Kluyveromyces lactis: one gene and its partners. The protein of the gene in region 1 binds, or shares a complex with, the protein of each later gene. Links are inferred from orthologs where the notes say so. Each region holds a gene or a part of one and is shown in the gene's direction. Other genes may lie near its edges.

Region 1 (10,374 bases):
GCGGGCAACAGAGAGACGATTAAGATATCTAATCTATCTTTTGCCTTCTCAAGCGCACCGATGAATAAAATATTCAACTCGTTAAGTTGCGAGATCTGTCTTAATGAAACTGTCGGGATTGTTGGCGAATCTGGTTCTGGAAAGTCTACCCTATCATTATTGCTAACAAGACTCTACCCTGTACCTAGTGGGAAAGTTTATATTGGTGGTATTGATATCAATAAATGGGATGAGTATGCTTTAAGAAGAACCATTTCAATTGTGGAACAGAAGCCAAAATTCTTTGATGGTACAGTAAGAGAAAACCTGGTATATGGTCTCAAACGTAACGTTTCAAACTCTGAATTAAGATCAGTTTTAAAGTCAGTTGATTTACTATCATTTGTACAAACCCTACCGAATGACTTGAATACGCGCGTTCATGATGGGTTAATGTCCGGAGGTCAAGCCCAACGATTATCTATCGCCCGCACGTTGTTACGCCAGCCGAAAATCATCATACTAGATGAATGCACATCTGCACTGGATGCAGCTAATTCATTTGCAATTGCAGAGCTCATCAGGACTGTTCTGAAGAATGTTACGGTGATTGTTATTACTCATTCAGAGCAATTGATGCAAATTTGCGATAGGGTTCTTGTTTTGAAAAAAGGGAAAGTTAAAGAAGAGGGATCCTATGCAGAGCTCTTCGAATCTAGAGGCGAACTATACCGGATAGTTTCGTGCACTAGATATTAACAGAGGATTTTAAATAACGATTGATTCACATGTATGATTTCTTCTAAGTAAGTTTATATCATTAAGCCTAGCATCATAGAGATAGAATTACGAATTTACATCTGGTATCAGACAAAATTAGAATCATTACAAATGGACGGTGACATATGGAACCTCCACGTCTTCACCTTCCTTATCTTCACAACAGAATTCCAAAATCATGGTCTTAACGTGACTGAGGATTTCCTTCTTCGTGACTAATTTTACAACCTCAGTTATTGGAAGATCCATTCTATCCTTTAGTTTTTTTGGAGGGAAGAATGATGCGTATAGTAAAGAAACATCGTAGGAGACCATTGTAATTTCCAATCCTTCTTCCTTGTTGAAGTGATCAATCAACTCTCTTAATGTGATATCACCTTGAATATCGAATCTATCCCATATTTTATCGAAAGTCTTATCATTGTATTTACCCTTTTGTGATGCGATTGGTTCTGAGAAACCGAAAAATGGAAGAGCTAAATTCACAAACCCGTTCTTGTATTGTTCAATATCTGTCTTTCCAGCGACGACTTTGTATAGTTCTAGGTTGACCAATCCTGTAACCAAAGCAGTGGTTGTAGCGATGGCAGGAATGATACGGCCAGCAATGAACTTAGTCTTTTGACGATCAGCTGGTTCGATAGAGTAGTTTAGAGCACGGTTGTTCGATGCAGCAGTAATGAACTCAATATGATGGTTTGTATCGTCATCCTTTTCAAATTCAACTGGGATTAGTTGGAAACCAGCTAAGGTAGAAGCATCTGGCAAAGAAGCTGCCAAGTTTTCTAAGACATCGCCACCAAGCTGGTTGTTCGCGTTTGGATCTGGTTCATCGTCATTGGTTTGAATTTTGATGTCAGCTTTTGGAATAAATTCAGGAACTATAAGCTTTGATAGGACGGATTGATAGTAGTTAATGTCTGGTTTACCATCATCTCCCTTTAGACCATAATTGAACGCACGCAAGTTAGCAGATGCAACGATGAAGTGGAAGTGATCTGGGTTTTCGATATTGAAGACTAATGGTTCAGGGGCACGCTTTGGACCAGACCAGAATGGCTCCCCGGTGGATGTTGTTGCATCCTTAGGGAAGTTGTAAAGAAACTGTTGGATATCATAACTAAACTTCTTTTCAAATTCTAATCTTGCCCATTTGACACAATCTTCAAAGTTGTAAGGTCTATTGTTTAGACAATCACTAATTGATTCTAAGATACCTTTGGCATCTGGGGCTTGTTTCAAAGTTTGTTCTACGAAGTTTGGTTGCGTCAAGTATAGGTTAACATTTTCAGCTGCGTCAGAGAAGTAGCCTTGGAATAGGGATTTGGCCCAAGCGATAGTGTGATCAATCTTATTAGGGAATGAACGCAATGTACACAATGGGATTGACTTTTCAGGAGGGTCTCTTGAAGATGAATAAGATTCTGTCAGGTTAGGGATAACCACTTGTGTATTACCCTTTGTCCCCAATGTTCCCGATTCTAGTAAAGGTTTCTTGTAGAACACACAACGACGGTCGACATAGGTACGAGCATCCACATTATCCAATGCGTTGGTAACGAAGTCTAATTGATTCCAAAAAGCATCGTTGAAAATATTCTCTGTTTCAGCACCAACTTTGTCAATCTTTGGCTCGATCTTGCCCTTCAAATCAGGATTCATTGCACTTACAGCATCAGCAGCAACTTCAGATTTATTTCTGCCGACATCCTTTGGTCTGAACAAGAATTGACGATTCAAATTCGACTTTTCAATTGAGTCATTGTCGGTAACAATAATTTTACCTTCAGGGCCAGAAGCCAAACCTAGTAAAGCCCAATTCTTGAGCATCTCACAACCGATCGCACCTGAACCCACTAGGAATACCTTCAAATTTGCGATTCTCTTTTGGAATTCCAAACCGAATACGGAAATTTGGTTATCGTAACGAGAGTTGATTGGTTTCGTGGTATCTGCATTTCTTGGGAAATCTTCAGAATCTGGTAGAGATTCGATGGAATCGAAATACATGTACTGTTTAATAGGAGTGAACTTACCGGAGGAGGCCTTTAACACTTCTTGAGCAACCAGACCACCGAAGAAAGCAACGATACCTGGAATATCACCTCTTGCTTGGTTAGCTAGTTCTGTGATGAGCTTTTCATCAACTTTCCCCTCAGAACCCAGCACTTCAGGTTGTTGTGTAGCTAAATCTATAACGAGTTTAACTAATTCATTAGAATCTTCTTCATAAAATGGCCTTGGCAATTCACCTTGATGTCTAACTTGGAACTGATGTAGGGCCTGGAAACCCAAGTGTAATTGTGCAGTAGTCTCGAATTTGGCGAAATCCGAGTACAGGAACTCTGGTGTTGCCAAAGATTCCCTTAAAGACTTGAACGTTAATTTCTGTGGCATCTTGACCTCGGTGAACAGACCACCTTTCTTGTATGTACCAAGATCCTTAACAGAACCAATCTTGAATGCGAACGGACCCAACACCTCGACCTTGTAAGGAGTACCATCATTCAACTTCTCAAGACCTTCCACCTCGGAGAATTTGACGTAATTGCCATCTTCTAACCCATGTCTGTTATCGTCCAACATGGTCACTGTACCATCCGACTCGATATCAGAAACAATACCTGTCTTTGGCTCTTCACCAGTAGTATCAATAACGGTAAATTCTTCACCTAAATCGACGAAAACGTTACCAAATAACCCACGGGTCTCCGTAGAAATGAAACCGATACCGTGAGAGTGTGTATACTCATTCAACTTCACCTTTTCTTCTAGTGAAATCGTGTCTGTCACAACAACTACTTGGAATTCAGACAATTGTGACACGTCTTCTAGCCCCTCTAGCACCTTCACTGGCACGTATGAGTTTAATTCGGCTAATTTTGCCTGTGATACTTTATCTCTAGCTTGCCCAATATCTTGTTCTGACAGGAAAAACTGCGTAGAAAGATCCTGTAAAGCGACAGCGCTTGGATCATAAAGGGTTAAAGACTTAACACCGGCCAAGACAACGTTCTTGGCAATCTCGACACCTAAACCTTTTAACCCAATGATCAAAACGTTCGAATGTTGCATCTTTAACATCGCTTCTTTACCTAATACGTACAATTGACGAGAGTACAAGCTCTCGTCAATTTCTTCGCCATCAACCTTAATATTCGTCATATCTGATACTAACTTGTGATGCAATGTGATCAAAATGAACGAACGGTTCACTTCTTGTTGCTATTGTTGTTTTAAGGAAACTGGTTTGTAGTTGTTTATAGGTTGTTGGCCTTATTAATTCGGTTTTTGCCACTTTGGGTTCGGTCACGTGAGTGGTTGAGTTTTCAGTCACGTGATATGAATGGAAGATGTTCGAATACAATACGACAGAAAGTGAAGCATTTGAGGTGATAGTATGGTTCCAAGAGCCCATATAAATTGTTTCGTAAATAATTAATTAATACGAGACAGTAATCACTTGATTTAAACCCATTTGGCATGCTTGAAGCCATCATTGCATACAATAAATGCATTTACACCAGCACACCACATAATATTTGAATGTTCGTCAAATGTGATATTTGATTTTCCCTTACCTTGAAGACGAGATGTCCTTCTCAAGAGATAAAGAGAGAGGGAGAGACTTCGACTGGCAAGGACAGCGCGATTGTTTACTCTACCCACAGTCTGACAACCCTATATATCTAATTTTCCATGTCCCATTGGATCAGACAAGAATTGTACGGCGGTGCCATCAGCACCGTCATTCCCAAGACGTTTCTTGATGCTTCAATGCTAAGGCAAGTACCAGACACACAGGAAGTGTTCGTGAATAGCAGACGTGAGAATGAACCTAGTGAGGATGGGCTCGGGTTCGATGAAAGTGTGATCGTAGACCTAATGCAGCGTGTGGAAGAGAATAATGACAGAAAAGCGTTAGATATCCATTTGGCAGAAATTTCAGAACTCAACGGATCACAGAAATGGACAGTAATTGACCATCAAGAGCAAACGGAACTCAAATCACAGACATGTATCGTTGTTGAGACCGCATACAAGTGGGGCAAACAATCGATGAAGGAAACCGTAGTAATGTGTGTTGCATTGCTCAGGTTGGATCAATTCGATACCGACGTCATCATTTCTGTTCACGTGCCTATCTCATCGGAACAAGAACTGAAGGCCATGGAACAGGCAATTGCGCAAAACTCACCGGAAAAGCTACCTCAAAGGGTGCACGCGTCCTATTCGTTGCTTCGGGACATGATCTCGAGCTTCAAAGTGGAGGATCCATCGTTATTTGCATGATCGAAACCAGGTATAGTAAAAGTATAGTAAATTATATATCCGGGTAATGAATTTCTTTAAGAATGAGTGTTTCAACTATGGAAATGGTATTATCAATGATAAACAATACATACTTATTCCTCCATCAGCTAGACTCTCAACGGTATATCACTACGAGCGGGAGCCCTGGTGTTGATTAGTGGTTCATAACTTGCGCTATCCGTGTGAAGATGGCCAAGGGCAAGAGAAATAACTGGAGAAGGATAGCCACCATTGCAATTCCGTTGGTGTTTGCAGTGGTGGTTCTTTTCAAGATGCTTAACTACAGTACGACTGCTGCAGATTTGCAGACACTATTACAGAATTTACCTAAGGAGATTAATATGGGTTCTTCCGAGCAATCAGACCGTAAAATTATGGAGAAATTTGAGAAATTGAGCCAGGATATGCTAAAGAAACAGGACGATCAGGCAAGAAGGTTTGATAGAGAGAGGAAAGTCTTGGAGAAGAAGATTCAAGCGTTGAAGCAACCTGCCAGACATGCGACTTTGAGAGAGAAGTTGGCCGTTGTGTTTGAGTACGGTACCACTCAGAGATTCCCCGCTTTTGTTTGGCAAAGTTGGCCGTATTCCGATGACGATGACAGGTTGGATCCTACATTGAAAAAATACGAACGGAACTGGGCTAATAAAAACCCTGGTTTCGTTCACGAGATTGTCAACGACGATACTGCTGCGGCGTTTGTGCATGGTTTCTATGCTACAGTTCCTGAAGTGATAGAAGCTTATGATTCTTTGCCTACGTCGATCTTAAAGATCGATTTCTTTAAGTACCTCATCTTGCTGGCGCGTGGTGGTGTCTGGGCAGATGTCGACACTGATCTGTTGCAACCAGTACCCAATTGGATCCCAGAGAACGTGTCTCCAAAGGAAATCGGGTTGATTATTGGTATTGAACACGACTCGAAGACTCCTGATTGGAGATCTTCTTATTTGAGAAGATTGCAATTTGGCAATTGGGTCGTACAAGCCAAGCCAGGCCATCCAGTGATCCGTGAAATGGTCGCAAGGGTCACTGAGACTACATTGGAAAAAAAATACGCTGATGAACTTAACATGAACCTAAGAAACGATCTGACCATTATGGGCTGGACCGGAACTGGTGCTTGGACCGACGTAATATTCACCTATTTCAACGATTACGTTCAAAGTGGTGTTTTAGACAAGATCACTTGGAAACATTTCCATAACTTAAAGGTACCCAAACTGGTCGGAGACATTCTAGTGTTCCCAGAAGTTAGTTTCAATGCGCCACAAGCTGATTCAGACACGGATTCTAAACAGTTGACTAACAGTGCGCTACATTTCGCAACACATACCAAAATGAAGTCATGGAAGAACCAGCAAAAACTCCGCGGCTACAAATAACGATTTATATAGTACTATATTCATATCACAACTTTAAATAATTTTGTTAATCCGTTTCTGACACTAAATCATGTATAAGTTGTGGAACTAAAATCAGAGTGCGCCCAAGCTCTACTAAAAACTGGGCAATTAAAAGACTTTCCTCGTCACTTAAACGAATATCTGTTGTCCCTATCTGGTTACTCATCATCTAAAAGCTTTTCCATCCCACATCTTCATACATGATGTTTTCTTGTCAGAACACGGCACACGCCTCCTGGCATGCTGTGTGAGATAATGTAAAGGAGATTTACTAGGTCATGGTACACCTGGTATCCCTGGTACCCCTGGTACTACCCATTTGGTGCTCAGAAGCCATCCTTCTACCGTCTTTTTCGTCTTATTTTCGGCCTCGAAGTAAGTGGCTTTTATATGGTTTTCGTTCGGGAATTTTTTTCTTAAATGAATGAGGTTTTGCTTGATCGTTAGGGCATCGATAAAGTGTAGCACACGACTAGCAGCCAGTAGCCTGAAATGGTTCGTAATGCTTTATCTATCTTATGGTAATAACTGAGGTATAGGTTAAAGAAAGAAACGAAATATGTAGTTCTATTTAGTGTGCAGGAAGGGACAACAACTTATTGTTCCAATTTGATTCCTTCCTGTTTCAATTGGGCTTCCTTTTCTAGCCTCTCTTCGATTTCTCTTAATTCTTGCTCTCTTTGCAGCAATTCCTGTCTCTTCAATTGCAATTCTTGTTGCACTCTTTCTTCGAAAACCCTTAATCTTTCTTCTTCTAGCTTGATTTGTTCTTCTCTTGCCAAGTAAGTGTCCTGGTTCGATGACGCGTTGTTAGAATGTAAAGAAGTCGAATCATTGTTCCCCAACGCAGATGGTAATCCATTGCCCCTCACAGATTCTCTACCAGATACAGCGGGTGATCCTAGGTATTCGTTGTTCGTGGTGCTGAAAGCTCTGTTATGAGTCGTAGTTCCTACAGTTGGCATCTCACCGGACAAGGCTTCAGTTCTGTATCTTTCGTATAGGATCTCATGAGTAAATTCCTTCATATCGTGTAAATGTGAAATGAGTAGAGTGTTCCTTAGGACGACGAAATCAGAGATGTTAGCATCCTCGACGTCAAGGGTTCCCCATGGATATTTTCTACCACGAATCACGGACCCGTCTGCAGATTCAAACACATCGTTGGAACCGATGATAGAGAAGGGCAGTAAACCTCTGAGATATGTGTTTGTTTGATAATCTTCGTCTGACGCGTCTTCCTCATCGAATGGGAAGTTGTAGATAGGTAGCGAATAATAGTCGATATCCTTTGCGATCAATTTCTTGTTCAATTTCAACTCTTCAGCGGTCAAGGAATCTGCTTTACTGATAACGGGGATCACGTTCACTAGAGTACCTAGTCTTCTGATGAATTCCACGTCAATCTCTTTCAATCCATGTCCAGTAGGATTGATCAAATATAAACAACAATGCACCCTACCATCTTTAAACCGAGGATTTCTCCTTACACGGCTCTCTTCCAACAAAATTTCATCGTACTGGTGACGAATGTAATCAGAGATAATGTCAAACGATGGAGAATTATCCAAAGAGTCGCCGAATCCCGGAGTATCAATGATATTCAATTGGATCTTAAGACCTTCTTCGTCTTCTAACTCAACGATTTCTTCCCTCAATTGCACATCAATCTGCGTATTTGTGTCCGTTGGTAACATAATCGTGGTAGAAGTATCTACCACTTTCTGTCCACATAGAGTGTTAATGAACGTCGACCTACCGCACCCAGACTGACCAACAACCATCACCGTGAACTGAATTCCTCTCTTCAAGTTCTTCCGTTTACGCAAAGCGGCAGATGCCTGAATAATACTTGCCATTTCTGTCTAAATTACAATTGTAGCAGTGCTTTTGTTTCCCAATTCAATACCCCGACAGAAATTAGGTGCTAATAAGACCTCTGAGCAGCTCTTCTGTTAATTGTGTTGTTTACGTGTTAGTTGTTTGTTTAAAGTTTCACGTTTCCGATCTGATTCTAAATTCGTTACTCTGAGGAATCTGGAATTTAGTATGGAGGAAACAGAGAAAGAGTAGGTATTCGACGGTGAAAGAGCATTTGATGGATGATAGAGGGGCTCAGCTAATTGAACAGAGGTTATAGATTGTTACTTGGAAGTCAGATTACGGAATAATCAATCCAGCGATGCACAATTGCCTTAAGAATGTGGATTTGAATGTTGACACATCCGTACATCACATACATATTTATCATTTAGGACGAAATTCGATTCAATTTCTCATTTCATCAAAGCTTTCTCTTGACTCATCTCGAATTGTGATGTGGAACCAGTTAATCATCTCATGTTCAAGACGATTTTATATTTAAAGGAACCCTTAAAGGGCATTGAAATAATTGTAAGAAGAAACTTTCGATAATTTCTTATCGATTGGTTATATTTGGTTGATAATTATCTAGTAGGGCAACTACACTATACTGTGATAAAAAGGAACTAGGTTTTCGCATTAATTTGATATCATGTCCGCTAAAAGAGTTGTTTTGATCGATAACTACGATTCGTTCACCTGGAACATCTATGAATATCTTTGCACTGAGGGTGCTGAAGTTTTAGTTTTCAGAAATGATAAGATTACTGTGGAAGAAGTTGAAGCATTGAACCCTGATATTGTCATGATTTCACCGGGTCCAGGTCATCCAGAGACCGATTCCGGGATATCAAGAGACTGTATCGCATTCTTCTGCGGCAAAGTCCCTGTGTTTGGTGTCTGCATGGGTCAGCAATGTATGTTTGATGTCTTTGGCGGTGAAGTTAGCTTTGCTGGAGAAATTGTTCATGGTAAGACTTCACCAATATTCCATGATGGAAAAGGTTTCTTTAGAAAAGTACCTCAAGGTGTCGCAGTGACGCGGTACCATTCGCTTGCTGGCGCCAAGGAAACACTTCCTGATGTGCTTGAAGTTAGTGCAAGAACGGAGACTGGAATTATTATGGGTGTGAGACATAAGAAATACACTGTGGAAGGTGTGCAATTCCATCCAGAATCTATCTTGACCGAGAGTGGGCATCAAATGATCAAGAATATTCTTGAAGTATCAGGAGGTACTTGGGATGAGAACGCAGCTAACTTGGCTAGGAATGAGCTCGGAAAGACAGCCAGCACTGATAAAGCGAAATCTATCTTGGAAACTATTTACGAAAAACGCCGTGAAGACGTTCAACTGCAATCGACGATCCCAGGTTATCGGTTCTCTGATTTAGAAGCCAACTATAAGTTAGGTTTAGCTCCAAGGGTACAAGATTTCTATGCAAGATTAACTGCTACTGAGAAAACAGCAGTCTTGGCTGAAGTGAAGAGAGCTTCTCCATCGAAGGGTGACATTGATTTGAGTGTCGTTGCTTCAGAGCAAGCGTTGAAGTATGGTCAGGCAGGTGCTTCAGCGATCTCTGTATTGACCGAACCTCACTGGTTCAAAGGTTCCATTGAAGATTTGAGAAATGTAAGAAAAGTGTTGGAGGTGGCATTTGCCAATGACGAATCGAAAAGACCATGTGTATTACGCAAAGAATTCATTTTCTCAAAGTACCAAATCCTAGAAGCTAGACTTGCAGGCGCTGATACTGTGCTATTGATCGTGAAGATGCTTGACGACAACTTGTTGAAGGAACTGTACGATTATGCAAAAAGTTTGGATTTAGAACCTCTAGTGGAAGTAAACTCCGCAGAAGAACTAAAACGTGCGTTGGCAATTGGATCAAGAGTGATCGGAGTTAATAACAGAGACTTGCACTCTTTCAACGTAGATTTGAGTACTACCTCAAAATTGGTCAGTTCTGTACCAGAGGGAACCCTACTAATTGCTTTATCTGGAATAACAATAGCAGCTGATGCTGATCAA
Region 2 (10,646 bases), on another chromosome or scaffold:
TACACCAACAATATTAATTCTATCACCTGGTTTTGTCTTATCCACTAAGTCATCATCCAAGATAACGTCAATGGATCTTGGTAATTGACCAGGAGGGGCCTTTTCGGGCATTTCTTGAACGGTGATTCGCTGGTGATCCATGTAATGACAAAATCCATACTCTGTGACCAGCTTATTACCTTCTTGATCCTCCTCTGGATAAATAGCTGGTGTTGGTACGGATGTGGTTAATGTTGTAGTCGCATCACGATAATCACGGTAATGATGATGGCCTGTGGTTTGGGCATAATGCACGGATCTGAGAAGTTTTGGCCTCACAAGTGAGGTTCTCGTTACAATCCCCTCTACTGAGATCAATTTATTCAAATGTGTTGAGTTTAAGGTACGTGGTGATAAAGAATTCGGACCGAAAGAACCCTTGAATGACAGTCTCCATTGTCTGCTGGGATCATTTTGGAATCCGCGAAACCCGAGAGGGCTATCATCTAAGGCCATTGCAGTCTCCGAAACAGCACGCTCCGCTGGTGGTAAAAAGAACGAGGGTACTTGTAAAAGTCCAGTCCAAAATGTTTTGTCAAATTCTCTTAAATCGTCAAGTGATACTGTTATTCTCAATGGCAATTGATTAGTGTCATGGTCCATCGTATCTTTGTCTGCAGTATTTAAATAATCATCATCCGTCTTTTTCTCTTTCACTACGTTGCTGTTAAACTCGAGTATTGATCTTATTTCTCGAGTATAATGCGAATGGGTATCCAAAAACTCTTGAAACCTTCGCATTCTGTCTGTAAAGACAGCATCACTTGTTTGATTCATAGCATCACTCATGATTGAATTCGGTACTTATGGTGTTTTTCAGTAGCAAAGTCCTTTAAACAGGGAGCGATAAATGCAATAATATTATTAAAATGAAGGTGCTAAAAATTAATGTTTCATTGGCACCAGTGCTGTTCTGGGATAGAAACGTTCTTGATATGGTTCTTCTAGTTTATTTTTGTCAGAATCGAGTTTCAGCTGTATTTTACCAACAGAATACGGCAAAGAGAAATGAGATTTGATGTTTTCGTCAATATCTTTTCCGTTTTTGGAAAAGAAAGAGGAATAATTTTCCGGGTAATGAGAAATGGCAACGCGTCAAAAAATAAAGGAAGAAGGGGTTAAAAATAACGACAACAGCAGGACTCGAACCTGCGCGGGCAGAGCCCAAAAGATTTCTAATCTTTCGCCTTAACCGCTCGGCCATGTTGCCATGTTATATGATAAAATGATGTTAGGTTCATATCACATGATCCAGAAGATGTCACTCATTATATTGTGAATTGGTAAATAATAAATACTATACCGCGCTTCACAGTGCAAGAAGAAACTACAGACCCTTGCCAACGTTCTGAACCTAGTATGGACATTAGATGGTATTAAAGAAAGTAATCTAACGAAATCATATTTGCCTACAATTGAGCTTTTGATATTGAAAGTTATCGACGATGAGCCAAAATTTGAAAAAATAAAACAAGGATGGTTTCCCAACCGTTTAGTAACTGGCAGTCTGCAAGTGCGGAAGAGTACACACACCCCATATTAACAGGGTTCAATGACAATGTAAAACGACAAACGGAAGCGTTAAAGAAGATTTAAATATATAAGAAATAGAATTAAGGATATAATGATATTTAATTGAGTGAAAAAAAAAATTACTGGAATAGAGAGAAAAAAGCTGATTTAAAAGGAGAAAGTGATAAAGAATAACGTATCTGATAGTATTTCCATCAATGACGCTTGACAAGGAAAGGAGCGATTGAGTGTTTTCCAGAAAAGAAAAAACAGTTTCTTGTTCTCCAACCAACAATTATAACTCAAAATCCATCCCATTGCTGAAAACCCACGTAAAACACCCAGAATATCATATAAGTTAATATATATAATTGGATGCTTAACAGTAGACGAAAAAAAATGGGGAATTAGATAGCGTACTAAAGAACACCGGGAGTAGCAACCAAAACCGTTCCAGGAAGGAAAACGACTTTTGTGGAAACACAGAAAGATGGACAAGTGAAAACATGCAAGGATAAAAAAGGAATCATATTTCAAGTCTTTTTCATCTCGAGTCCAATCTCACTGATAACAAAAGAAGATCCCCTGTCCCTCTCAAAACACATTAGGAGCTCAACGTATCAACAACGGTTGATCCAATTTCTTCTTTCCATTTATCCAGGGATAAAAAAACTTTTTTTTCTCATTTCTTAGTCCATTAATATATTACTGAATTTTTTTGTTCATATCAAAATCTATTCGGATCTTGGAGCTTCCTTGAAGGAGATGGCAGCTTCTTCACCCATAGCGGCAATGATAGTAACCATCAAGTCCTTACCTTCGTCGAAAGCAGCTTGGATGTTGTCACCCAATTCACCTTCTGGGGCTCTGACATCATCCTTGGTTTCACCGTCCATGGTCATCAAAGACAAGAAACCGTCATCGATATCCAACAATTGGAATTCAGTTCTCTTAACAACTGGGACTTCCATGTTGTGAGTAGATGGAGACAAATCTTCCAACTTCTTGTTGGTGAAGATATCGATGGCAACCAAATGGACCTTAGCGTGACCGTGCTTACCGGTCTTGGAAGTAGACATATCAACAATCTTACATGGTCTGCCCTTGATAACGACAAAACCGTTCTTTCTCAAAGCAGAACATTGCATTGGGAAAGTCAAGGAAGCACCAGCTCCAGCAGTTTCGAAAGTGTGTTCTTCTTCAGCCATGTTGTATATGTGTGATTTGTTTAATGCGTTTGGTCTACTATCTGTAGTGAAAACAAAATACAATTGAAACCAAGTAAAACTGAATAACTAATAACAGGATAAAGTTAAAACAGAAGAGAACAAGAAAAACTAATTAAACAAATGAAGAAGTTTACAAAATCATTCTGAAACATATACAAAATGGACTAAATACACTCTTGTAAATGAAAAAAAGCTTTAAATTCAACTTTCCATGAAGAAAAAAACTCTTATAATTTTGTTTCCAATATATATAAAATCGAATATCAAATTTTTTTTTCTTTCTCGTCGTCGAACTGAAAAAAAAAGTTTGAAAAATTTAGTTTCGATCATTTTGTACAGAGAGAGTGAAAGAGAGAGCGAGAGGGAAAAACACCGATGTATTTCATAGTCGTGTAAAGTTTGTAGAGTGTGAAAACAGAAAGAAAAAGCAATTCGTACGGTAGGTCTTTTTTTTCTACTTTCCCATCGTCTTCTCCCTTGCTATTCTAGTCTGCTATGGGGATTGTATGTTTTCCAAATGGCATATTCTAGTTTTTTAACGGCATTCACTGACAGATCGAAGTCAATAATATAGGCAACGTTGGCACATAATTGTATCGGTTGCGGAACGATTTGTATAATGTACAATTTTGATACGTAGTTGTGTATAATTCATCTTTGATGGCGAAGAGCTGGGTGGATTCGCCAGTCGACAGATCCAAAGAACCTGAGGCCGCATTGAGGGAAACAGGCACGGACCATGATATATCACCGTACACGGTAAGCTCACGGAATCCTCTCGTAAGCAGTAGGAAAAAGGGAAACCCAACGATGCCCGGGTAACATATACATATCACTATACACGTATTTATTTGGTCCTTTGATTGCCGCCTGGCATTCCCAGGCATTGGAATGAGATGAAACATGTCACGTGACTGTACGGGAAGAACAGACATCCGCTATCTTTCCAGCCTTTTTGTTCCGTTATGTTGAATGGCCGTAGTAGAGGTTCTGTTACAGTGCGAAAAGGCGGTAATTGAGCCGGGAAAAAGTAGAGTTGCTTCTTATCTACAACAACTTACGGTCCCCAACAGTGCCCTGAGAGTTGAATCACTGGTTCCCACACCTTATAACTGCGTGTAGGGTCTGGCAGTTCCTTTTTATTTACCTTTTCCAAATTTCAGTTTATACACTTTTTTTTTTTTTTTTTTTTTGGCGAAGAAATTGAAATGGATGAAAACAATGCAACTATACAATCGAAAATAGTAATATTTTATAAGTATTTATTATGGCACAGACCATATTATCTGTTGCAAACGCTAAAGGAAAAAGGTTTGTCATTTAAAGCAGCCGATTATTATTCCAGAAGGTGTCATAATACACAGGGTTAGCACCGCCCAGGATTAGTGAGAAAGGAAGAACACATAAGGATCTTTTGACGAGCGTGCATTTTATAGATCTATTGTGAAAAATTGCGGTATCAAAATTTCTTCGAACAATAAAATACAATCGCTAAAGCTGTGGAGGAATAAAAACATCCGGATCCATCGCTCTTTACTTTTGAAATCACTTCTATTCTCGATTCCTGGAAATTCAAATATTCTACACAACGTCATACAACCGTCATAGATGGGCAGCAAGGGTAAGAGCAGGTTCAATGCCTTGACTGCTGTGTCCGTGATAGGATCAGTGGTAACGGGGTTTCTTATAATTCGAATGATTTTCCCAATCATATGGCAGTTCGTACCGTTCGTCTCAAGTCCTGTAACTGGTAACAGGTTCAGAAATATACCTGGAGTGGAATATTACGATTTAATTAATTATCAGGGGAATGCCAATGGATGGCAGACCGGTGATAGGGTGGTGTTCTGTGTTCCTTTGAGAGATGCAGCCGCACATTTGGATATGTTCTTCGATACCTTGGATAAATTGACATACCCACATAACTTGATTGATCTTTCATTTTTGGTCAGTGATTCAAGCGATGATACCATGAAAACACTTCTTTCTCATTTGAGAAGAGCTCAATCAAACCAAGACAAATCGAGAAGATTCGCTAACATTGAAATTTTTGAGAAAGATTTCGGTCAAAGTGTGGGTCAATCGTTTTCTGATAGACACGGGTTTGCAGCTCAAGGCCCTAGAAGAAAATCCATGGCCAGAGCTAGAAATTGGCTTGGGTCAGCGGCTTTGAAGCCGTATCATTCTTACGTGTACTGGAGAGATGTCGACGTTCAAACTATACCGAATACTATTTTGGAAGATTTAATGCATCATGATAAAGACGTCATTGTTCCAAACGTCTGGAGACCTCTACCCGATTGGTTGGGAAATATACAACCATATGATTTGAACTCATGGGTTGAATCTGAGGGTGGATTACAATTAGCTGATTCTTTGGATGAAGATGCTTGTATCGTAGAAGGGTACCCGGAATACGCTACATGGAGAACACATTTGGCCTACATGAGAGACCCAAGCGGCGATCCCGAGGTCGAGATGGAACTAGACGGAATTGGTGGTGTTTCCATCTTATCTAAAGCTAAGGTCTTTAGAACAGGTTCTCATTTCCCTGCGTTCTCTTTCGAGAAACATGCTGAAACTGAAGCCTTTGGTAAATTATCACGTAGAATGCAATACAGTGTTGTCGGTCTACCTCATTATGTGATCTGGCACATTTACGAACCTTCAAGTGACGATTTGAAACACATGGCCTGGATGGCCGAGGAAGAGAAACGTCGGGTTGAAGAGCAAAAAATTCAAGAGTTCTATGCTAGAATTTGGGATATTGGTTTCGATGACGTGAGAGATGAGTGGGAGCTAGAAAGGTTACAAATTTTGAAGAACATTGATCCGAATGTCCTAGATAGGAAGATTCAAGTGGACTGGTCAGATGATGATGAAGCAGATGATGGTTCAAGGAACGGAGGAAATAATCAAGATTCACATGAAGTACCACTGGACTTTGATCCTGCTCATTAATAATTTTCTGTTTAGGCAGTGAAGAGTAAAGAAGATTATAAAACCCACAAATACATTCTTCACTAACGAGATATTTTTTAAAAAGATATCTTAACCATCTAATTTCAATTCTCATCGCTTCCATCCCCTATTATTATTCAATTATTAGGCAGACTGTAACACGTTGGAGTATCTAGTTGTACAATATGCACCTTAGATCATTATCGAGGTTTTTATCAATAGACTTTTTTTTACATTTACGTTTAAATGCATTATATACTAATATTGTACTTGCAATAATCTGTTCATTTTGTTTACTTCAAACCATATTACTACTGGTAACTATTACAGGCAAGCAAATACTGAAAACACGTTATCAAGCTGCATTAAGCTGTAATTTTCAGCGTATTCCGGAGTTCTGCATCTTGTCAGATACCTTCAGTTTTTTTTTTTGTCAACATCGAAAATGAAAGTTGAGAACAGTGAAAGAAATTGAAATTAATGCCAAATCAACTTGAATCTGATGGCTGGGTGGCAAAGAAGATAAAGTCAAGAAAACAACCGTTGAGACAAAGTCCAAGAAAATCACAAGCATAATGCTTATTAATTTTAAAGATTTCAAAAAGGAAAAACTACCTATTGAATTGGCGGATGATGCCACCATTTCACACGCCAAGGAATTGATCGCTGAACAAAAACAGTGCGATGCATCTCAAATAAAGTTGATCTACGCAGGTAAGATACTCCAGGATCCTAAGACCGTATCAGGATGCAATCTTAAGGAAGGGGATCAGGTTATATTCATGATTAGCAAAACTAAGAAAAAGGCTGATGTTAAGGTAACTGAATCCACAACTGAACCCCAAGATGAATCTCAAGCCACTGCTTCTGCAGAAACTTCTGCAGTTGCAAATGCACCTGCGGAAGCTACAACCACTGGTACAAGAACAGGTACTACTGCAGTTACACAAGAAGAAGGGACGACTGATGCTTCGTTTGTCACTGGTTCTCAACGTAACGAGACTGTGAACAGAATCATGGAAATGGGTTATGATCGTGAACAAGTAGAACGTGCGCTTAGAGCAGCATTCAACAACCCTGACCGTGCAGTGGAGTATTTGCTTATGGGTATTCCTGAAGCCAGTGAGCCATCGCAGCAACAAGCTGAAGCTGTAACTAGTGAAGCTGGGGCGAATGCTAATTCTGAAGTTGCAACAGACGTGCCATCACAATTCACTGAACATGAAGACAATTTATTTGCACAAGCAGAAGCCAATAATGGCGAGCAAGGTCATGAATCCGCTGCTGGTTTAGGTGGAGAAGAAATGGGCACAATCGGATTGACTATGGAGGACATTACACAACTTCGTGACGTTGTATCTGGGCGTCCAGAGGCTTTAATGCCACTTTTCGAGAGTCTAAGCACGCGTTACCCACATCTCCGTGAGACCATGCTGCAAGATCCACAAAGGTTTATCTCTTTGCTATTAGAAGCTGTTGGCGGTTCCCTAACCGATTCTTTGGGTGAAAATCTGGGAGATGACATAGCAGAAGGTGATCTAGGTGATTTCGGGGGACAAACTCAAGGCGCGCCTCCCAATGTTACTATCTCAGCAGAAGATGAAGAAGCTATCAATAGACTTTGCGAGTTGGGTTTTGAGAGGACCTTGGTGGTGCAAATCTACTTCGCATGTGACAAAAACGAAGAAATTGCTGCCAACATGCTATTCAACAATTACGCTGATTGAATGTAGTATGATTTTTCAATAAACCATCGTCTCTTTAGGCATGTAGGGAAAGAAGAATATGTTCAAAATAGAAAACAAAAATAATTATCTCTACCAAATTTGTTTAATAATATGGAATATGCGTACTCATATCTCCAGCATGTAGTGTTTGCCAATCCAAGTATGACCTCTATACCGTCAGATTTTCCTACTACAGCGAAGGCATCCCACATATTCATCTTCCAATTTTTGCACACATACGCACTCATAATGAGCAGTTATACTTAACCAACCTTAGTCAATCTGCAACAGACGGAGCGTGGTATGTTCGATCTCTTACTTCCAACTTCAAGTAGGATTTGTGTTACAATCAATCAGATATCCCCTTCATTAATTTTTTTAAATTTATTCATCATTACACTATATCCTTAGTCCCAATTCAGAGAACCAGTGTACCTTAGACATGTCTTATATAGATGAGAAGTTATTAAGCGCTTTATATTTTTCTGCATTAGATACCGGGTTGTTTCCAGGCCTCAATGCCAAGATGGTGCTGATGCCTACATCCAAAGCTGCGTCTAACTCCTTGTCATTGTCGCTAATAAACACAACATCACTTGCTGATGATGGAGGCACTCCAATGCTTTTGAGAATATTGGTGTAAGATTGAGGTTCAGTTTTCTTACCGGACGTGTTAATGTCGAAGTAGCCAGCAATGGATTTCGTTAAATCGATGTCCCCTTCTACGTGTTGGAACAAGAGTATTTGCGCCTTTACTGACCCTGAGGAGTATATGTAAACATTAGGAGCATGTCTCTGAATGAAATCAATTGCATCTGGATACACTGGCGCCTTGATCTCACCACTCTTGTAACCCTGCTCCCAAATATACCCTTGTAATTGCTTCAACACGGAATCCTTGATGTCGTTATTAACTAGCGATTCAATATGTTCATGCAAAGAAGAAGCATCTTGTGGGACAGGAAATTGGGCAAGTAAGTTCTGCAAAGTAGGGTCATTAGTCTTGACAAGAGATTCCACCTGTTTCAAGAAAAAAGGGTATAGCGTGTCTTTAACAAATGAGATAGGGCAAACCGTACCTTCAATGTCCAAGATATATTTCAATTGACTCATTGTCACTTAATTGAAATCTCAGTTTTCCAGTAAACGCAAATAACTGTGCCTTAAAGCTCTTTTTTCTAATGACTGTGATTAATTCCAAGCTCCTATTCACTAGGCGTACCGAACCAACATGGTCGTGAAGAACATCAGATTGGAATAGGTTTACAAAATATTCAGTTTTACAGTTTGCGAGATGAGATGCGGAAATCAGTCTTGCGAGAATGGAATGAAGCATAGGCAATGTTGGACAACGGCTACACCTTCCTAAAAAGGAAAAGAATGCAGCTTAGCTTAACTTGAAGGTTTCCCAAAGAGGATACTGGAGACGGCGCAAAAATTAAATAACTGAAAATATGCCACAAACCACGTGATCACGACGGAACGTTCCACACACGAACCCAGACATCACAATGCGCAGTATTTTCCTGCTTATCTATCGTAGCAAAACCGCGTTAGACAATCCTTTCGAGTGGATTGAATTTGGTAATCTAAGATTAAGGGTATCCATTTTGACAGGTTTCTCGGTAGGCCGATCTACAGTTGTCAAATGAAATGGCACTACTTCTATGTAGTTACATTATCTTGGGGCAAAATGTATAACGTGATTATTCTAAGATGGGAATAGGCTAGCGATCGTAAGGCTGAATTCTGTTTATTTACTTTATGTTGTTCTTAACGATTGAAAGACTGTATCTTTAGATCTTGTTCAGTTCGTAGTTGAACTGATGCGGAGGGGAGATACAACTAAGCTTCCTGCTGTTAGTATGGTCAGACGGTTTTTCGCTTTGTAGGGGTACATCGTAAACAATTCATTTTGTTAGAGTCGCTTGTGAGAGGATATTATTATGCATTATGCGTAGATACCTCGATTGCAATACAGATATCATTGGATAATCTAAACAAGGTAGCTCCTGCCGGTTGCTTACTTTAAGTTCCATTATGAGGGAATAGGATGATTCGAAGCAAGTATTAGTCTTGAAATTTATTTATAAAGGGCGTCTGTCAGAAGGATGGTTCTACTTATTCGTTGTTTGTTAACTCACATATTTCTCTATTACATCTTTGCATCCACTCAGCAAACAAAAACTCAAACCTCAAACAAGTTTTATTATAATACAAAGATATACTCATGACTGTCGAAAACGAAAATAACTCTTACGTCTTCCAAGGATACATCACTAAAAAGTTACCTCATGTCAAACGCGGTGAAGGATGCAGAATTGTCGTTGAAAAAGATGGCAAGTTACATGAAGATGTCTTCGATGGCATCACTGGTGCTGCTGTCGGGGCATTGGGATGGGGTGATGAGGATATCCATGGGATCATGACAGAAGCAGCCAAGAATCACACTTACACTTTCCCATCTTTAATCGGTAATTCACAATCTGAAGAATTGGCTAAGTTCTACATTGAAAACTCTCCAAAGGGCGCCTTTGAATCCGCTTTGTGGTGTTGCTCTGGTTCTGAAGCTAACGAAAATGCTATGAAAATCATTAGACAATACCAATTGGAGCGTGGCCAACCAAAAAGAACTAAGATCATCTCTAGAGAATCTTCTTACCATGGCTTCACTTTGGGTGCCTTGTCCATCTCTTCTAATCCAAGAGCCGAACAGTTCAAGGAAATCTTGATGGACCAAAAAGAATTATGCCTAAAGATGCCTGTATGCTACCCATACAGATTCATGAAGAAAGGTGAAACCGAAGAAGAATATTGTGCCAGATTGATTCATAGCCTGGAACAATTGATCTTAGACAACGACCCAGAGACTATCTCTGTGGTTCTCGTTGAGACATTGCCAGGTTCCTCCTTAGGTACTACTCCACCACCAAAGGGATATCTATCAGGTATCCGCCGTATCTGTAATAAGTACGACGTTGTGTTCATGCTCGATGAAGTCATGTGTGGTACTGGTAGAAGCAACCCTAACGGTAAGTTGAACTGTTGGGAGAATTTCTTGACAGCTGAAGAAGCCCCAGATATCCAAAGTGTTGGTAAGACCTTGGGTTCCGGATACGTTACCATAGCCGGTGTTTTAGTTGGTCCAAAAATCAAAAAAGCATACGCCGAAGGTTCG
Region 3 (10,177 bases), on another chromosome or scaffold:
CCAATACCAACGTTGCTGCAAATATAACAGTTTCAAAACCATCGTCGGTTTTACCTTTGGTAACCCAATATTCATCTGATGAAGACTAGATTTCGTGAAGTCATGTGACACATTGACTTTTCCAGATTAGGTATATTTTGGATTACTGGTTGCCGTCATGAACAACATCTAGCGGATTTCAGATTTGTTTTACTGACATTGCAAATATTTGAAATGAATATAAAAGCTATCAATGCCTGGTTTTCAAATTATGTCGAAGTTGTTTTGTCGAGTTCACTTACTTGAACTTCGTCAGTCTACGGTTTGGCCTTCATCAAAAAACACGATAATTTTGAATCAGACATCCGAAAAAATGGAAGACAAGGCACAGGCTCAAACAAGAACGCATGAATCGTCAGACCATTGGGTATTTCCAGGATTGACCTGGAATCCTAAATGCATTATTAGCTAGCACACTGTAACTATTTACGTTAAATACTCTAATTCATATTGCATGACTCTAAAATTTCAAGGAAAAAAGTCTAGTCCTTTCATATAATAATTGGTTTGTATGAAGATTTGTCAACATTGTATTTCGACATAGCTTCTTTTGAGATGTAATTTTCTCCGGTGAAGTCGTTCTTTTTGACATAATCGAACAATTTAGCCATGGCAGAATGATCTTCCTCCTCGGTTAGAAAAGTAAGTGCAGTACCAGTTTTACCAGCACGTCCAGTTCTACCTACACGATGCACAAAGCTGTCAAACGACTTAGGAAATTGTAGATTCACTACTAAAGAAACGTTAGGTATATCGATACCTCTTCCAGCGACATCAGTAGCTATGAGAATATCTACTTTCCCATTTCTCAAAAGACTTAAAGAGTGTTCACGTTGTTCCTGTGATTTTGAGCCGTGAAGAGTTGTTGCTCGGAACCGAGCCTCTCTAAGTTTGTCGAATAACCAGTCAGCTGTTCTTTTGTAATTTATGAATATTATGATAGGAGCCTTGTAATTTGGTAGGAAATCTTTTACAAGTATCTTAAGTTTTTCTTCTTCATCTGGAACATACCGTACTATTTGTTTAATTTTTGGTTTAGATTCTTCTCCTCCAACCGTGACATAGCTTGGCTTTTTCAAATAGCCATTAGCAACTTTTTCTATGGTAGGTGAGAATGTAGCCGTAAACATCATTGTTTGTCTATTGGAAATTGTTTCTGTCTTTGCTAAAATTGTAGTCAACTGATCTTCAAAACCGAAATCTATCATCTTGTCCGCTTCATCCAACACTAACGTATTTACTTGCTTTAAAAATAAAAGATGAGAATCTAGACAATCAAGTAACCTTCCGGGTGTAGCAACCAATATATCACATCCATCTCTTAGGTTTGCTGAAATTTCTTCCAAGGAATGTCCACCAACAATACTTACGATATTGCAAGGTCGTTTCCATAGTTTCGTAATTGATTGCCCCTCATGTTGTATTTGCTGTGCCAATTCTCTTGTTGGTGCTAATACTAATGCCAAAGGACCATCATGTTTAGTAATTGAATTAAGTGGCGGTATACCGTGAAGTTTTATAAGAATTGGAAGCAAAAATGCAAGTGTCTTACCAGAACCAGTACTAGCAACACCAATGAAGTCTCTATTGTTTATAACATTCGGTATTGTACTGCGCTGAATGGATGTTGGCTCGTTGTAGTGCAAATCATTTGTAATAATGTTTAACAAATCTTCCGGAATTAACTTTAATTCGTGCCAGTTTCTTAGAGGTTTCTCTACTGTTCCACCTTTACTCGAGATATTAAAGTCTTCAGATAGAATCCTCCAATCCCTAGTGCTCATCTCTTCATATTTCTTTTCAGACCAATGCTTCCCCAAGTAATTGTCGACAATACTTTCATCTTCATTTTGTCGTTTCTTCAAAAGGTCGGCGGATTTTCTTGCTAGGAATAGTAAATCATCTGGTTCATTAGATACTTGTTCCTCGTATAGTTCGTCTTCGTCGAGATTCCTATAATTATCTTTCCTCTTGATAACGGTGTGTGACAATGCCTTTGACGCTTCTTCTTCTTCTGGTTGTGGAAATGTTCGTTTCTTGATCAGAAACCGAGGTTTCTTCGCAGGAACTGTGTCTGATATTAAGTCATCAATACTGACGGGCCTTAGCATGGTAAAGTGTGATACTTTCTACCCATCTTTACAATCGTGTAATATTGCAATACCTTTGAGAAATGAGATGAGCTCCACCGTCTTAAAGCTTAAAGAACTTAAAGGCACAGTTTCTGATATTGTCGCCACGAATAACCTAATACGGTATATGTCCGGGTAATAACATCGCCCCAAACCTGTTCCGAAAAATCATGGCGATAATCTCAATCAATCTCTGGAGCTTTGAAAAACTCCAGAGATTGATGAATCATGATTTAAACAAACTAACCGAACACTTTCATGACATTGCCAAGGTTGAATTCATATATAACTGGATTCATCAACATATCAAATCTACATACTTTCTACGCAGAACTTGTCATTGTGTTCATTTGTTTGAGCTAGTAGCTTTATTATCAATCATCAAGGGAGCTAAAAGGGTTTACTAAGCATAGACTAAGGGAGCTCATCAAGGGAGGTGGTAGAGTTTAAAAACAAGAAAATATCCCATCTCATTTGACATAATACAATTATGAGTGCAGATTGTTCCGTTGGATCAAATCCTCTCGCGCAGTTGAATAAACATGCCCAGCAGAATCCTGCTCTGAGACAAGTGGGGTATCAAAATCCGGCCAGTAATGTTGCTCAAAACTTCAAAACTCATGTGAATGAAGTATCCAATGCAAATCGTTTTCAAATGGACCAGTTTATGAACAGGTCACCTGGTTTTTCTGATGGTCAGTTGGGAATGGCGCCTGTTCCTAGTGCTATTCTTTCGCATGGTCCTCGTTTTGGACTAAAGAAACAAGATAGTGGAAGCAGTAATATGTCAGCAGGCGATACAGCTCAGCATTCCAGGAGCTGGGGTAATGAATTTAATAGCAGATCTCCTCAACAGGGTTTAGCCAGCAGAGTCAATAATGTTGAAAGAATAAGCAACACAAATTCTATGAGTTCATACAGGCCTGGCATGTCCCGGATCGGGAGGCCGATGATGCATACAGGTATTTCTTCATTACATAATTATTCTCACATGTCTCAGCAAACACCGCAAATGTCCAGTGATGATGGTGTTCTCGCTGACAAGCAGTGGAATGAGCAGTTTGAAGCCTTGGAGAAGGCTGTGGCTGAAAATTTGACCATGGAGGACAATAAAGAGGAAACCAAGGAGGAGATAGTAGTGGAGGATGGATATCAAGCAGACTTCCAAGAAGTCTGGGATAAGTTACAAGCGGAGACGGCTGATAATAATTTGGAAACAAGTGATTCTCAATGGGAGAAAGATTACGCTCGCTATATGACTGGTAAAGCAACACATATTCCACCTTACAGATTTGATAATGATAACCAATACATGCATAATCCAAATGCCTATGAAATTGGATGTATCCTAATGGAAAATGGGGCGAAGCTAAGTGAAGCTGCATTGGCTTTCGAAGCTGCTGTGCAAGAAGACCCCGCGCATGTAGATGCATGGTTAAAGCTTGGATTGGTTCAAACACAAAACGAAAAAGAAATGAATGGTATTAGTGCGCTTGAGCAATGTTTAAGCCTAGACCCCACTAATCAGCAGGCACTCATGACAATTTCTATCAGTTATATTAATGAGGGATATGATCTGACCGCTTTCAGCATGCTCAACAGATGGCTAGATAGTAAGTACCCTGAGTTAACACGCTCCCCTACCATTGATGAGGCCAATATCGATAGGTTTAATTTGAGCAAACAAGTAATCACGAAGTATTTGCAAGTAGCTAACGCCTTGCCTCAGGTGGATCCAGAAGTTCAGCTCGGTTTGGGAACGCTTTTCTATGCCAATGAAGAGTTTGGTAAGACAATTGACTGTTTCCGCACCGCATTAGAAGTCAATCCAAATGACGAATTAATGTGGAACCGTTTGGGAGCCTCTTTGGCCAATTCAAACCGTAGCGAAGAAGCTATCCAGGCATACCACAAGGCCCTTGCCTTGAAACCGTCTTTTGTGAGAGCTCGTTATAACTTGGCCATTTCGTCAATGAATATTGGCTGTTATAAAGAGGCTGCAGAGTCTCTGCTCTCTGCTCTATCTATGCATGAAGTAGAGAATGTTCCAATTACTGGATCAGTCGTGCAATCTAACAATATTCTGGAGACCTTAAAGCGTTCCTTTGTCGCCATGGATAGGAGAGATTTGCTAGAAAAAGTCATGCCGGGCATGGATCTACAGCAATTTCGTAATGAGTTTAACTTCTGATAATGCAACGCAGCGAATAGTCTTTGTTTGATAGGACCATCCTCATATTCATAATGAATTGATCTTTCACCAAGTTTTGCGGAAAAATACATTCGCATAATTAATTACAAGCATTTAGTCGCATATATGTAGTCGTCATTCGATTGTATTCCTCAACGAATAGTGCAGAGGTCCATGCTCACGATCAGTGTACCAGTCAAAGTGTTATGGTAAGCTGTCGCGGTATCTAGAGACAGATTGCGATTCTATCATTTCTACCGGGTAACATTTTCTTGTTTTGGATTTCTTCATTTTAAAGCGAGTTGCAAGAATTTGAAGTAATGTCAACAGAGTAAAAATATATGTTCTCTATAGATAAACTCCAGAGTAGTACAAAACAATCATTTACTGGTTGTTGTTTGTGTATCTAAGTGATTTCGTTAGTACTTCAATACGTTAAGGAAATATAGTGTGACTGCTTGGAGCAGAAAATACTATTGATCGCGTTTTGCTGTTTTTCTGAGGCATCCAACTTGATCCGATTTATTGTATATTGTACGTGAACGAGAGACCAGTCAGAAAATCTAGATAGGATCAATGACTTCGAGTACACCTTATGAGTACTCATACGAATTGGATGAGAAAAAGCCATTAAATTTGGATTCCAATTACGTGTCGTCATTTTCAAAATATAAGAGGTACGTCCTATGGCTGTTTTCCATACTTTTCATATTATTTTGGTTAAGTGATTTCTCACTTGTTGCAGCTGAACCCAAGGTGGTGATAATTGTTGCTGTCAATAGTGGTGGCGGTGGTGTTTTAAAGTGGAAATCGGAACAAGAATGGGCTATCGAGCGTATTTCTATCGAAAACAAACGTGCATACGCCAAAAGACATGGTTACGGATTGGTCATTAAAGATCAGGCACTATCAAAGAGATACTCCCATGAATACAGAGAGGGCTGGCAAAAGGTTGATATAATGAAACAGACTATGAGGGAATTCCCCAATGCTGAATGGTTTTGGTGGTTAGACGTGGAAACTCTTATCATGGAGCCCCAACTTTCTTTGGAAGAACATATCTTCGATAGACTAGATGAAATCGCAAACAAGACTTTGGAAGCTTTCAATCCTTTGCATATAGCTACCGATGTGGCATATGTTGACTATTCACAACCGTCAGATATGTTAATTACACAGGACTGTGGTGGTTTTAATTTGGGTTCTTTCCTAATGAGAAACACTGAATGGACTGAGCTTCTTCTCGATATATGGTGGGACCCAGTCGGATATGAACAAAAACATATGGTCTGGGAACATCGTGAACAAGACGCTTTAGAAGCATTGTATGCTAACGAACCTTGGATTAGAGAGAAGATCGCATTTCTACCACTAAGGCAGATCAATGCTTTCCCACCAGGTGCTTGTGCAGATTTCAAGTATGACTTGCGCTATTTCTATAACGAAAAGGAACATGACTTCGTTGTCAATATGGCTGGGTGTAACTTTGGTAGAGACTGCTGGGGTGAAATGCGCCAATACACTCAACTGATGCAAACTCTTCACCGTAGATGGTACTCGATGTTCTTTTAGATTCTCAATTTCCTTTTGTTTATCACTTCAGTTGTATTTCAAAAATTATGCACTGCTCCATTGTACTAATACTGTAAAATAAAAGGCGAAGGTACAAGAAGATCTTCGATAGAGTATCCCCTTTTATACTTTAATGCTTTCCCTTTCAACACCATTCTTCGTTGCCTTTCAAAGTCATTGTTTGAATATCGCATATTTAATACGTCTTTAATTTCAATTTTTATCGTGAACATTCATTGTACAAACTTCGATGCAAGAGTAATTGTAAACTTTTATTTACTCTGTATTGAATGAACTACTGTACATAATGGGGGTGATTGCTAAAAAATACAAGAATTGTCTTTATAACGGATTTAAATTAATCAAATGTAATCTTTTTTGGTTTCTTTGATAGGTCCACATCCTTGAAGAATGCACCGTACGCACTATGTTCCTTCTTCTTTGTGTGAGTACCGAACTTCTTGAGCTCCTCAGGAACAGGTTGACCAGCACCATTTAAGACATTAACAAGGGCACCTGCAAGATGCTTTTCTTGCTCAGTGAACAATGTGTGTGCGGTACCGTATTGACCAGCACGACCGGTTCTACCAATTCTGTGAACGTAATCTTCTACTGTTAGAGGGAAAGTCAAATTGATAACGGTTTTCACGTTTGGGATGTCTAAACCTCTGGCTGCCACATCAGTAGCTAAAAGTAAGTTACATTTTCCTGCTTTGAATTCATTCAAAGCTTGAGTTCTTTGCTGTTGAGAAAGATCACCGTGAATGGCAGCAACATCGTAACCGTTGTATTTCAAGTTTCTTTCAACACGAGAGGCTTCCTTTTTGTACAAGGCAAATATCAAAACTTTGTCGTTCTTTGTTGGGCCTGAATGGTACTTCTTCAACAGTTCCAACAGTTTTTTTTCCTTTCTGAACGGATCCACAACTTCCACGATCTGAGTAATTCTTTTGTTTGCTGACAGTTCATCTCTGTTACCAATAGACACTTTAACCGGTTCACTCATGAAACTTGAAGCAAGTTCACGAACTTCTTTTGGCCATGTCGCGGTAAACATCAACGTTTGTCTAGAGGTGGATCTTGTTTGTCTAATGATTTTTTTGATATCTTCCTCAAAACCTTTTTCCAACATTCTGTCAGCTTCATCCAAGACCAGGTAGTTAACATGACTCAAATCAACAGAGCCTTCCTCTATTAGATCCAACAGTCTACCTGGAGTAGCAACAACGACTTGGGATCTCCTCAGATCTTCTCTTTGCTGATCCTTTGGAACACCACCGTATACGCAACAAGATCTTAAACCACACGCGTCAGTAAGAACAATCAAATTATCGTAAATTTGAGAGGCCAATTCTCTAGTTGGTGAGATAACAAGTACCTTGACGGAACTTGACTTGTCTCCTGATGTGACAATGTTGTTGATAGCTGGAACACCGAAAGCAAAAGTCTTACCCGAACCAGTTTCAGCGATACCGATAACATCCTTACCAGCTAATAGATATGGCCAGGAAACAGCTTGAATTGGAGTTGGTTTTGGGAACTTAGAAATTTCCTTTTGAATCTGATCAATAAACGACACTTGGGAAAAGTCTAAATATGGTACAATATTGGAACCTGATGGGTCGCTAACTGTAACCTCATTTTCCTTCAAAAATTCATCAATATCAGATTGAGAGGCAGAAGCAGCAAAGCTTTCAGTTTCTGATTTCTTATCCTTTTTCTCCTTCTTTTCTTTCTTCTCCTTCTTATCCTTCTTGTCTTTCTTGTCTTTCTTGTCTTTCTTGTCTTTCTTGTCCTTCTTCAATTTTTTCTTACTCTTCAACTCCTCATCTTCCACCTTTCTCTTCTTGTCCTTTAATTCATCTTTTGACATTCTGGACTATTTGCTTGAGCTCTAATGGTTAAGTATCACTACTACTGCAGATTCTGCAATCATATCATTCGAAAGCACTTAAGTCATCTCATCTCATCTCAGCTTTGTTATATAAAATTTTCAATAATCAAAAAACATTTCTTTTTACTGACGCCAGCTGAATTACAACAAGAGACAAATATATAATTAATATAGCAACGGAGGATCCGTATAATTGATAATATATTCTCAATTAATTCCGATACAGCAGTACCTCAGTTCGTATATATCTAGTAACAATAATTCAAAAGACAATGCAAGTATTATATTTAGTAGGTATATTAAACAGGTGAATAAACGTTAAAAAAGACAAGAAACGAAATGCGATAGGAAGCAGTGTTTATCATTTAGCATCATAAGCATGGAAAGCTTCAGTTGTTACTGACTCCTGATTGCTATCGGTGTTTTCATCTTCTCTGATATAGAAAACTTTCTTTGCCTTAAATTGCCAGAATCCTAAGTAGAATAATAGGAACCCAACAATGACGACTGATGCATAATTCATGTTATCTTTTGTCACTGGCATGACAGCTGGGAAACAGAAAAAGACTAAAGCGAAAAGATTCCAACCCAATAAAACGATATTGGAGAACGCTCCGAATTTTCCTAGCCAAAATGGGCCATGTTTAATATTACGTTTACGCGCCAACAGACATACGACCGGAACACTGTATGAGAACAATAAGAACGCAATACACCCAGTAATTAAAGAATTGAAAGCGGTGGTGGAAGCCATGTATAAGCAACCCAATAGCGAAATCAAGGCACATGACAGCAAGTGCGCGTTCAATGGCACACCCAATTCAGGATCAATTTTAGCCCAGTATTTAGAGTATGGGATACCGTTGTCTCTAGCAAATGACCAACACAATCTTGCTTGCCATGTATGGCATGCAATAACACATCCAAATGAGGTGAAAAGGATGAGGCAACCCAACACTACAGCACCTGGAGTAGATTTGGTAGCTTGACGGAAAATTTCCAAGATTGGCATTCCGGTATTGGATGAAGCAACAGCCTCTAGATCTTGTAAAGAGAAGAACATAGCGATGACGTAACTGAAAGAAGTAAGGAATCCAATGCCCACTGTACATAGAATAGAGATCGGAATCACTCTTTCAGGGTTTTCCACTTCAAAAGCCATGTGAGTGGCACAATCTAGACAAGAGAAGGACCATGCCGGGTTGATTAAACCGACAATGAAGGCAATGACTCCATTTTTCCAGCCAGTTTCGTTATAGAAAGTAGCAAAAACGAACTTGGCATCGTTATATTTACCATGGGAACAAGCTAGCACGGTCACTGTAATGGTGAAAAATGAAATCAATGAGATGTACAATGACGATTGAGAAATGACTGGCAAAGCCTTACCAGAACAGTTGAACATCATCAAGAACAAGTGCAAGATTTGGAAACATACGAATACATGCCATCTCTTGACTTCAAAATCTGGATGGGTCAAAGCGTACATGCCTACCAATTCAGAAGCAACTGAAAGTGTGGTAGATGCACTAGAGAAAATCGCACCTGCCCATGCAAAAGAACCACATAGATAAGCAGCTAGTCTTCTGTATTTTGGTGGAGCCAACTGCAACGACCACCAGAACTGACCACCAGCGTGTGGGAAAGCAGAAGACAACTCACCTAGAGTCACAGCAATACAGATAGAGATCAAGGCAATGATAATGATACCGTATACGACCATCATTGGACCACCAGAGTAGATACCAGTAACCATGGATACCGAGATACCAAACCAAGAATTCGTCAACCCGAACCCAACACCTAAAATCGACCATAGAGAGAATGATTTACGCAAATGACCTTCACCTGTACCACCGTACGCATCGTAAGCATCTTTACTCGATATACTTTGTTCTTCTAGTTTACTCTCCTCATGAACAACATTTTTGATACCGTTATCCGAACTGTTATCGTTGAATCCAGTTGAAGATCCTGCCATCTCGGAATTAGATATCTCTCGCATCTTCAAAGAATATCCCTAATACTACCATCTATATAAAAATACGAAACAAGACACACAATATAAATAAACTACCAACTCATCTCATCTCATATTAACTAAAAACATATCAGTGTCCTTATATAGGATTTGGCAATTCCTCGAAATGCAGTTTTCTGGTTGTCTTTTATCTTTCCATTTTTCAAATCGTCTCGAAGACGAAGTTTTTCATGACATGTGAAAATTAAACCTCATTTGGCCCAAAATCCCACTTCCGTCTCCTAAAAGGAATTTCCTTTGCTTTATGGAATTGACATGGATTTAGTATAGATCGTGGATTTTGGATTAACTGGCAGAGTTATATGTGA

What was found.
Region 2: HOC1 (region 1) and ANP1 share a complex: the UniProt entries of both Saccharomyces cerevisiae proteins name them as parts of the M-Pol II complex. The link is inferred for Kluyveromyces lactis from reciprocal best matches to the Saccharomyces cerevisiae genes HOC1 and ANP1.
Region 3: HOC1 (region 1) and MNN10 share a complex: the UniProt entries of both Saccharomyces cerevisiae proteins name them as parts of the M-Pol II complex. The link is inferred for Kluyveromyces lactis from reciprocal best matches to the Saccharomyces cerevisiae genes HOC1 and MNN10.

Annotation. Positions count from the first base shown.
Region 1 is NC_006038.1:1,251,732-1,262,105, forward strand, and holds HOC1 (alpha-1,6-mannosyltransferase), read left to right. Parts: upstream 1-5,261; coding exon 5,262-6,458; downstream 6,459-10,374. Other genes in the region: ATP-binding cassette a-factor transporter STE6, read left to right, coding at 1-738; E1 ubiquitin-activating protein UBA1, read right to left, coding at 865-3,924; Ran GTPase-binding protein MOG1, read left to right, coding at 4,459-5,052; septin CDC11, read right to left, coding at 7,076-8,338; TRP3 (bifunctional anthranilate synthase/indole-3-glycerol-phosphate synthase), read left to right, coding at 8,995-10,374. UniProt on the Saccharomyces cerevisiae protein: The M-Pol II complex possesses alpha-1,6-mannosyltransferase activity and is probably involved in the elongation of the mannan backbone of N-linked glycans on cell wall and periplasmic proteins.
Region 2 is NC_006041.1:1,971,457-1,982,102, reverse strand, and holds ANP1 (Anp1p), read left to right. Parts: upstream 1-4,388; coding exon 4,389-5,741; downstream 5,742-10,646. Other genes in the region: MCM DNA helicase complex subunit MCM3, read right to left, coding at 1-828; KLLA0_E22199g (uncharacterized protein), read right to left, coding at 2,286-2,759; KLLA0_E22177g (uncharacterized protein), read right to left, coding at 3,326-3,715; RAD23 (Rad23p), read left to right, coding at 6,317-7,468; putative acireductone synthase UTR4, read right to left, coding at 7,916-8,581; KLLA0_E22089g (uncharacterized protein), read left to right, coding at 9,699-10,646. UniProt on the Saccharomyces cerevisiae protein: Involved in the organization of the secretory pathway. Required to maintain a functional Golgi apparatus.
Region 3 is NC_006039.1:1,338,909-1,349,085, forward strand, and holds MNN10 (alpha-1,6-mannosyltransferase), read left to right. Parts: upstream 1-4,938; coding exon 4,939-5,934; downstream 5,935-10,177. Other genes in the region: active spliceosome conformation promoter CWC2, read left to right, coding at 1-89; mRNA splicing protein PRP28, read right to left, coding at 531-2,150; PEX5 (Pex5p), read left to right, coding at 2,662-4,362; RNA-dependent ATPase DBP3, read right to left, coding at 6,293-7,807; HNM1 (Hnm1p), read right to left, coding at 8,190-9,833. UniProt on the Saccharomyces cerevisiae protein: Required for polarized growth and efficient budding. The M-Pol II complex possesses alpha-1,6-mannosyltransferase activity and is probably involved in the elongation of the mannan backbone of N-linked glycans on cell wall and periplasmic proteins.